2 linked regions of the Cricetulus griseus genome follow. The protein of the gene in region 1 binds, or shares a complex with, the protein of each later gene. Links are inferred from orthologs where the notes say so. Each region holds a gene or a part of one and is shown on either strand. Other genes may lie near its edges.

Region 1 (3,814 bases):
GCAAGAAGCGGAGGTACTCAATCTTTTGTTGGCGGGATAAATTAACAGAGGAATACCAATTCCCTTTCACCTGAGCTTTCTGGGCAAGCATACTTCAGCTGGAAAACTCAGTGTTCATTCAGTATGTATGTTTACCTTTAGCTCTTTGCTTGGACCTGGAATGGTCCATTAGCCAGTTCTAGCTCAAACATGTCAAAGTCCAGGGCACACAATACAGGACTGGATCCAGAATAGAAAAAGCTGAGCTATCTTCCTCACAGGACTCAGATGGAGAACCAGGGCAGGTTCTTTCCAGAGTTAAGAAAACACCCGGATCTCACCAACTCTCCAGAGAAAAGCCCTCTTGTGCTCCCAGCTGGCCTAAACTCAAGGTGATTCTCTAGTTTAGCTATCAAAAATTGAGATTACAGGTGTGAGCTATCACACCCAGCAAGATCCCCTAAAGTTGAGGCTATAGCAGCTACTCAAGGCCATAGGTGACTCTAAGGTGAGAAACCCTCTTGTGCACCACTGTCAGCCTGACTTCCCTTTATTACTTCTAGTTATCCTTGTGTTGTAGTTATACTTGTGTTGGGGCTTGAATACTTGCTACTGTGGGAAAGGCCCCAGACTCCATCTCCACACAAAGGAAAACTGCCTAACTTGACTTTAAACTTCATCACTCACACATGATAGACCCCAATAAAGTTGACAAAAGATAAAAAAAACATGGGCTGGAGAGATGGCTCAGAGGTTAAGAGCACTGACTGCTCTTCCAGAGGTCCTGAGTTCAATTCCCAGCAACCACATGGTGGCTCACAACCATCCATTATGAGATCTGGTGCCCTCTTCTGGTGTGTAGATATACATGGAAGCAGAATGTTGTATGCATAATAAATAAATAAAATCTTAAAAAAAAAAAAAGATAAAAAACATGCCAGGTGTGGTGGTGCACATCTACTGTCCCAGCACTTGGTAGACAAAGACAGGAAGACCTCTGTGAGTACAAGGTTAGCCTGGTCTACAAAGTAAGTTCCAGGACAGCCAGGGTTTGTTATACAGAGAAATCCTGTCTCAAAAAACCAAAACAAACAAACAAAAAAACCTTCATTACTTCCCAGACTGGTTCTTTTTCATTGCTCAAATCAAGAGCCAATACCAAATAATATACCACAAGACACTGCTAACCTATGAGTTGCATGCACTTTCATGTAAACCCCTATATTTCCTACTGAGTGTTTGAAATTATCATTTCAATTTTCCTAAGGCACCAGAGAGATTACAAATTACAGAATTTGCTCCTCAACACACAACTTGGGAGAGGCCAGGTAGTAACACAACTCACAGCCAAACAGACTCACAAATGCTTTTCCTAGGCTACAATGCTCTACTGCCCCCAGACATAAGTAAAAGCAGCCTGGGGGTTGGGCTCAGTAGTAGGAAACTTGGTCAGGTTCCACTCCCAGGACAGCAAAAGTAGGAATAGTTTGGGCCTATCTAGGCCAAGCCCAGAGCTTCACCACCAAGTGAAGCTTCCTAGAGCAGATGTACAAGGCCCCGGAAAGCCACAGCCAGCCTCTACCTGTAAAGTGAAGAATCTCTGTCCACTGTTTGCAGATATAGATCTGGACATCTGTACCCCCAAGAGCCAGGTAGGTACCACTCTGGTCAAAGATCAGTGACTTCACCTGCCAAACCCCAAAGAAAGGCAATTACACAAATGTCAAGCCACAGAACAACTGGGACAAAGAGAAGCAGTTCACATGAACTCAGAAACCATCAGGGAGTGAGGACAAACAACTAAGACTGGGGAGGAGCGCACCTCAAAGTTGTTATCCAGCTGCAATGTCTTAAAGTTCTTCAGCTTGCGTAAGTCCCAGAGCTTGACTGAAGAGTCATCGGCTGCTGTGGCCAGGTAGTACCCATTCTCAGAGAAGGCGATACTGGTAATGGGGCCAGAATGGCCAGGGAAATTGGCCACATTGGTACGCTCCTACAGGTGGTGGTTGGACAAAAAATTATCACTTACGGGTTAAGATAGGAAGGGGCTTACCAAACTTCATGTCCTGTGCACCCACAGTTCCTTGGTGACATTACCATGCCACACAAACAAAGCCAGGCTTTCCTAAGCCTTGAGAAATCCTGGGGCCTGCTGACACACCTCATCAGTTCCTTCTCTAAGAGGCCTGCATGTCCTACCTTCAAGTCCCAGATCTTGATCTGGGAGTCCATGGTTCCTGTTCCAAAGATGAGCCCATCAGGATGGAACTGTGCACAGGTAAGAGCTGAGGAAAGGGGACAGGGATCTGTAGTCAGTAGTCACCGTGGCCTCTACACTGGTGCAGTGGTAAACACTGTCTTTAGAACAAATAAGCAAATGACTAAGTAAAACTTAAAGACAAACTGCAAACAAAAGAGTTCAGTGCCTCTAAGGACACTTACAGCAGCCGGAAGTCTCATCTGTCACCTTGGTGAGCACGCGCCCTGTCTGGATGTCAGAGAAGGCCCAGTACTGGAGGTGAGACAAAGAAGCCAATGAGTAAGCAGGTCTGGTAGCTGAGACCCTGATTCAGCACCTACTGGCAAAGATAGCTCCCACAACAGGGAAAAAACCTTTCCAGAACTCTGGGAATCTGGCTGCCCCAGCAAGATGGCCCTTCCTCCCAGGGTGAGTAGGCAGCCTCCTCAGGGCCCTAGCTGGGACTGTACCTGATCATCAGAGGAACTCAGGAGATAGTCTCCAGTAGCATGGAGGCTGAGGCCTGTCACTGCACTCTCATGGGCTCGAACAACCTGTACACAGGAGGTGTTTGGGACCGACCAAATCCTGATAGTCGCATCTGGGGATGCAGAAAACACCAGTTCCTGAAAGGAAAGCAACCAAGAATCAGATCCTAGGAAGTGAAATGTACTATAACACCCTTTTCCACAGTGAAAAGGACAGCCATAACTACCAGCAACTGCTTCTCCTTCTAGTCCCTCTCTGCCTGTAACCACCTATCTAAACAACAGTGCCTAAGAAAGCCAAGAAAAATAAATGCTGCTGAAATGGCCACACTGAGCCAAGTTGAGACCCTCACTACTTAGTAGTAAACAGGGCAACTGCAGCTGAGAGCTATTTTTGCCCCCTTTTAAAGCTGGGTGGAACTGAGGGACTGGAATCATGTGCACCTGCAGCTAAAGACTACTGGACTAGATGGCACAGATCCGAGCAGACTGAGCCTGTAAAGGAATATAAGGTCATGTTCCCATGTTCCTCACACTTAGACCCAAGGGCATGTTGATTGTCCAAAAGACCTGGGGCAGACAGAGAGCTTATTTAGTTTCCCAAATAAATTATTTCCACTAGTTAGGACAGTAACAGCCAGAATATAACAGCAACTATCCTTTCATTAACACATACTCATAAAAGCCAAAAGTAATACTAACAACGAATAAACAGGAAAAAAAGTACTTCAATTTGAATTAGTTTTTCAGTTTGCTATAGCTGTGATGGTTTGAATGAGAATGGCTCATATATGTGGCTGCTTAATCACCAGGGAACGGCACTATTTGAAAGGATTAATAGTGTGGCTTTGTTGGAGAAGTATCTCATTGGGAATAGGTTGGTTTTGAGATTTCAAAAGCCCATGTCAAACAGTGTGTGTGTGTGTGTGTGTGTGTGTGTGTGTGTGTGTGTGTGTCTGTCTGTCTGTCTGTCTGTCTGTCTGTCTCAGCTACTGGCCCAGTGTCAGGCTTGCCACCATGCTCCCTGCCATGATGATAATGGACTAACCTCTGAAACTGTAAGAAGCAATCCCCCAATTAAATGCTTTCTTTTATTAAGAGTTGCTGT
Region 2 (3,910 bases), on another chromosome or scaffold:
AGTACATATGTACACACGCACATATACACATATATATGTATATACACCCCCCCAGACACACACACCCCGAGAATACACAAATAACATGGTCAGTCACCAACTATTTGCTTCTGCCGCTGTAATGAGAAAGCAGCCACAGGCAGTATTCCAATATAAATGGATATGGCTGTGTCTCAATACAACCTCATTCACAGAAATCAGCAGTGGGCTGCCCAAAACCCAGGTAGCATGCCAACCTTCTGTCTCCTGACAAGAAGCCCAGTCCCTGGCAGAGTTGCCTCTCTGAGTCATAATATACCATTTAAAAACCTGAGAACTTACTGTGAATGTTAGACACTGGAGCTACTGAGGTCGACACCAGCATGAATTCCAGACACAGGCAAGAGGGACAGGTAGCTCTGATTCCTGCTGTCCTGACAGGATCTGACAGTGACATCTGGCATAAAGATACACTACCTGGCATGTAAGGAAATTAGCCCCAGGAAGGAACAGAAGGCATGGGAAGGTATTACACCTTCACAAACTTGCCATCCCATCCAGGGGACAGTTTAGCCGTGGATGTGATCGCTAATGGATAACTCGCAGGAACTTGCTGGAGGCAACAGTACAAAAAACAGTTTATTTTAGCAAAGAAGCCACCCAGTGGCTAAAGACCCCAGGACAGGCTGTGGCAGCACATAGCCTATGCTGGCTTTAAGGCCCAGCCACATCTAGAGTAAGAGCCTGGGCATTGCAGAGGGGCAACTAAGGAAGTTGACCCGTAGAAGGGCTTGGGTGACACACAACTGCTTCACAGGACGCACTCGGCACCAGGTCCCTAGAGGCCAGGTAGCTCCGTTCTTGTCTTACAGAGGTGGGAGCCGAGCGAAGCATCACATGTACTCTCCACAGTCAGCGATGATCACCTTCTGCTTGGGCTTCCCATCCTTGCTGCCCTGAGCCTTTGTGAACAGAACAGAGAAATCAGGAGAAGCACGGGGTTGAGAGCTAGCTGCTCAGGGGTCACCCTCTCCCAGATAGGGAACCCCTACAGGTCTCCCACTGAGGTACCCACCCAAGGTCCAGGTAGAAAGCTATTTGCAACCACCCACCTCAATCTGCCGTAGGACATCCAGGCCTTCGGTGATCTCCCCAAATACCACATGCTTGCCATCCAGCCAATCTGTCTTGTCACAGGTCAGGAAGAACTGGGAGCCATTGGTGTTTGGGCCAGAATTGGCCATGGAGAGAAGGCCTGGGAGAAAATAAACTCCTCAGCTCCCTCCATAATGCTCCCAGCCCAAAGTGCACACCCATGCTGACTGTTGGCAGTGCTTCTGTGCACTGGCTCGGGCTCCAGGACAGGGACCCCAAGGTGCTGCACCCTGTCTTCCTCCCCACAGAGAAAGAATGCATGGGTTGTTTCAAATTTGTTCATGTTTTGTTCATTTGTCTTTTCATTTAGAACAATGACTTGCTGTTTACTCTGTAACCAGACCCATTAAGTCCTGGAACACCAACAAGCAAAACATTCGTTTAAAATGGAATTGTACGGGTCTGGGAAATGGTTCTGTAGATAGAAGTGCTTGCTGAAGAAGCCTGACAATCTGAATTTCATCTCCAGAACCTATAGTAAAAGGGAAGGTCTCCTGAAAGTTGTCCTCTCATCTCCACGCACAAACTATAATGCACATAACCAGCACTCAAACACATGCACAATACACACAAACGATAAACACATACACATATTTTAAAGGTTATTGTGTTATGACAACTAAGAGGCAGGGTCATCTGTGCTGGGAAGAGAAGCTTAAGGCAGTCACATGGAGGAGGGGGAGATGCTGGGCCAGGAAAGGAGCTGGAGACAGGGTGACAGGGGAGGTGGATTCCTAATTCTTTTTTTCTTTTATGGGGGGGGGCATGGTTTCAAGATGGGGTTTCTCTGTAGCTTTGGAACCTGTTCTGGAACTCTCTCTGTAGACCAGGATGACCTTAAACTCACAGAGATATGCCTACCTCTGCCTCTCAGTGCTGGGATTAAAGGTATATGCCACCTCCACCCAGCAAAAGGTGTACACCACCATTTCTTTCTTTCTTTTTCTTTTTTTCAATTTTTCAAAACAAGGTTTCTCTATGTAGCTTTGTAGACAAGGCTGGCCTTGAACTCTCAGAGATCCACCTGCCTCTGCCTCCTGAGTGCTGGGATTAAAGGCATGCACCACTACCATTCTGTTTGTTTTTGTTGTTGTTGTTGTTGTTTTGAATTTAATTATGCTTATGTGTATGGGTTTTTGCCTGCATGTTTATCTATGGCTCACATGTGTGCCTGGTGCCAGAGGAGGCCATAAGAGGCTACCCTGAGACCGGAGTTACAGACAGTTGTAAGCCACCAAGTGGGTGCTGGCAGTAGAACCTGGGTCCTCTGGAAAAGTAACCAGTGCTCTTAACCACCAAGCCATCTCTCCAGCCCTTGAGCCCTAATTTTGGCCAGGCACATCTACTAAAACAGGAGACAAGAAGGGAGTTGGAGGGAAGAATGATTTCAATCTGTGAAGTCTAAGGGTCCTCTGCAAGAACAGCAAGTGCTCTTAACCACTGAGCCATCTCTCCAGTCCCTTAAGAACTACATATATTACATTACACAAACCCCAAGTTTTAAGGGCTTTCCCAGTGACGAGCTAGATGTGGTAGCACATGCCTATACCTAGCGCTCAGGAGGATCCAGAGTTCAGTGCTACCTTGAGCCACACACTAAGACCCTGTCTCAAAAAACAAAAATCAAACCAGGTATAGTGGTATATGCCTTTAATCCCCAGACTTGGAAGTCTGAAGCAGGCCAACCTGGTCTATATGACAAGTTCCAGGTGAGCCAGGGCTACACAGTGTGACACCCTATCTCAAAAACAAAACAAAAAAAAAAAAAATCAAGATCAAAACAAAGAAACAATCCAGGAATTACAACTACAATATAAATCAATGGAATCTCAGTCATCATTTCACAAAATAGAGTCAGCACCAGCAATATTGTCTGTAGTGTTTGAACTGGAAGCAGGCACATCTCTCTATTTTTAACTGCTGCATCTGAGTGTGGCACACAGCGGAATAACTCTTGTGTCTTCTGGTGTAATCGCACCTACTAAAGCACTCTTACTCTTAAAATAATGTAGACAGAAAGAACTTATTGTCCCTGTACTTCAGCTCAGCACAAGGTTGGAGGAAGAACACAAGGCACAGTGAACACGTTTCTATGGAGAAATCAACTGATCCCTGAGCCACCGCCATGTTGAGGAATCAAGAAAGGAGGAAGCACTAAGACGAAAAGGTAGTGAAGCAGGCAAAGCAACTGTAAGATGGAGGAGCCGGCCACCAGAGCAAGCAAGAAACAGGAGCACAGGGCTGACAATACAAGATGCCGCTGGGGGCAGAATACAGCAAGGCCTAAAGCTGGCGATGGTTGGCATCTATAACAAGAAAGGTCTGAGGGGCCAGCTGGGGCTAAGTCTAGATAACAGGACTTAGAACAAAAAGGCAGTGAGTCTACACATTTTTTCCTAAATCTTGCTGAAAAGTAGACTAGAGTCAAGATGACAGATGGTGAGAGGAACAAGAGTCCAAAGGTAATTTTTTTTTAAAAGATTGAGATTGCATGCCTGGACACTGATAGACCAAACTGGCTAAGCAAGAGAAACACATTATATAGGTCAAAGGGAGCCAGCAGAAGATGCCAACTTCCTAAGTAGGGCAGAGGGACAGACTCCCTCATGAGGAGGGATGGCCTCTATAACAGGAGGGAAGTCAGAGCATGTAAGCAGGAGGTGTCAGGAAGAAAAACAGGCATGGGACTGAAGGTGTGCGTACGGGGGTGCAGAGAGGTTGAGAGCACAAGGAAGTTTGCAATGATAACCACAAACTCTAGGCTAGCAAAGAATAG

The links.
Region 2: Prpf19 (region 1) and Ppie share a complex: the UniProt entries of both Homo sapiens proteins name them as parts of the XAB2 complex. The link is inferred for Cricetulus griseus from reciprocal best matches to the Homo sapiens genes PRPF19 and PPIE.

The regions. Positions count from the first base shown.
Region 1 is NC_048596.1:49,549,230-49,553,043, forward strand, and holds part of Prpf19 (pre-mRNA-processing factor 19), read right to left. Parts: intron 2,845-3,814; coding exon 2,689-2,844; intron 2,492-2,688; coding exon 2,422-2,491; intron 2,265-2,421; coding exon 2,179-2,264; intron 1,973-2,178; coding exon 1,802-1,972; intron 1,668-1,801; coding exon 1,562-1,667; intron 1-1,561. UniProt on the Homo sapiens protein: Ubiquitin-protein ligase which is a core component of several complexes mainly involved pre-mRNA splicing and DNA repair. Required for pre-mRNA splicing as component of the spliceosome.
Region 2 is NC_048595.1:29,865,717-29,869,626, reverse strand, and holds the end of Ppie (peptidyl-prolyl cis-trans isomerase E), read right to left. Parts: intron 1,235-3,910; coding exon 1,092-1,234; intron 942-1,091; coding exon 873-941; 3' UTR 594-872; downstream 1-593. UniProt on the Homo sapiens protein: Involved in pre-mRNA splicing as component of the spliceosome. Combines RNA-binding and PPIase activities.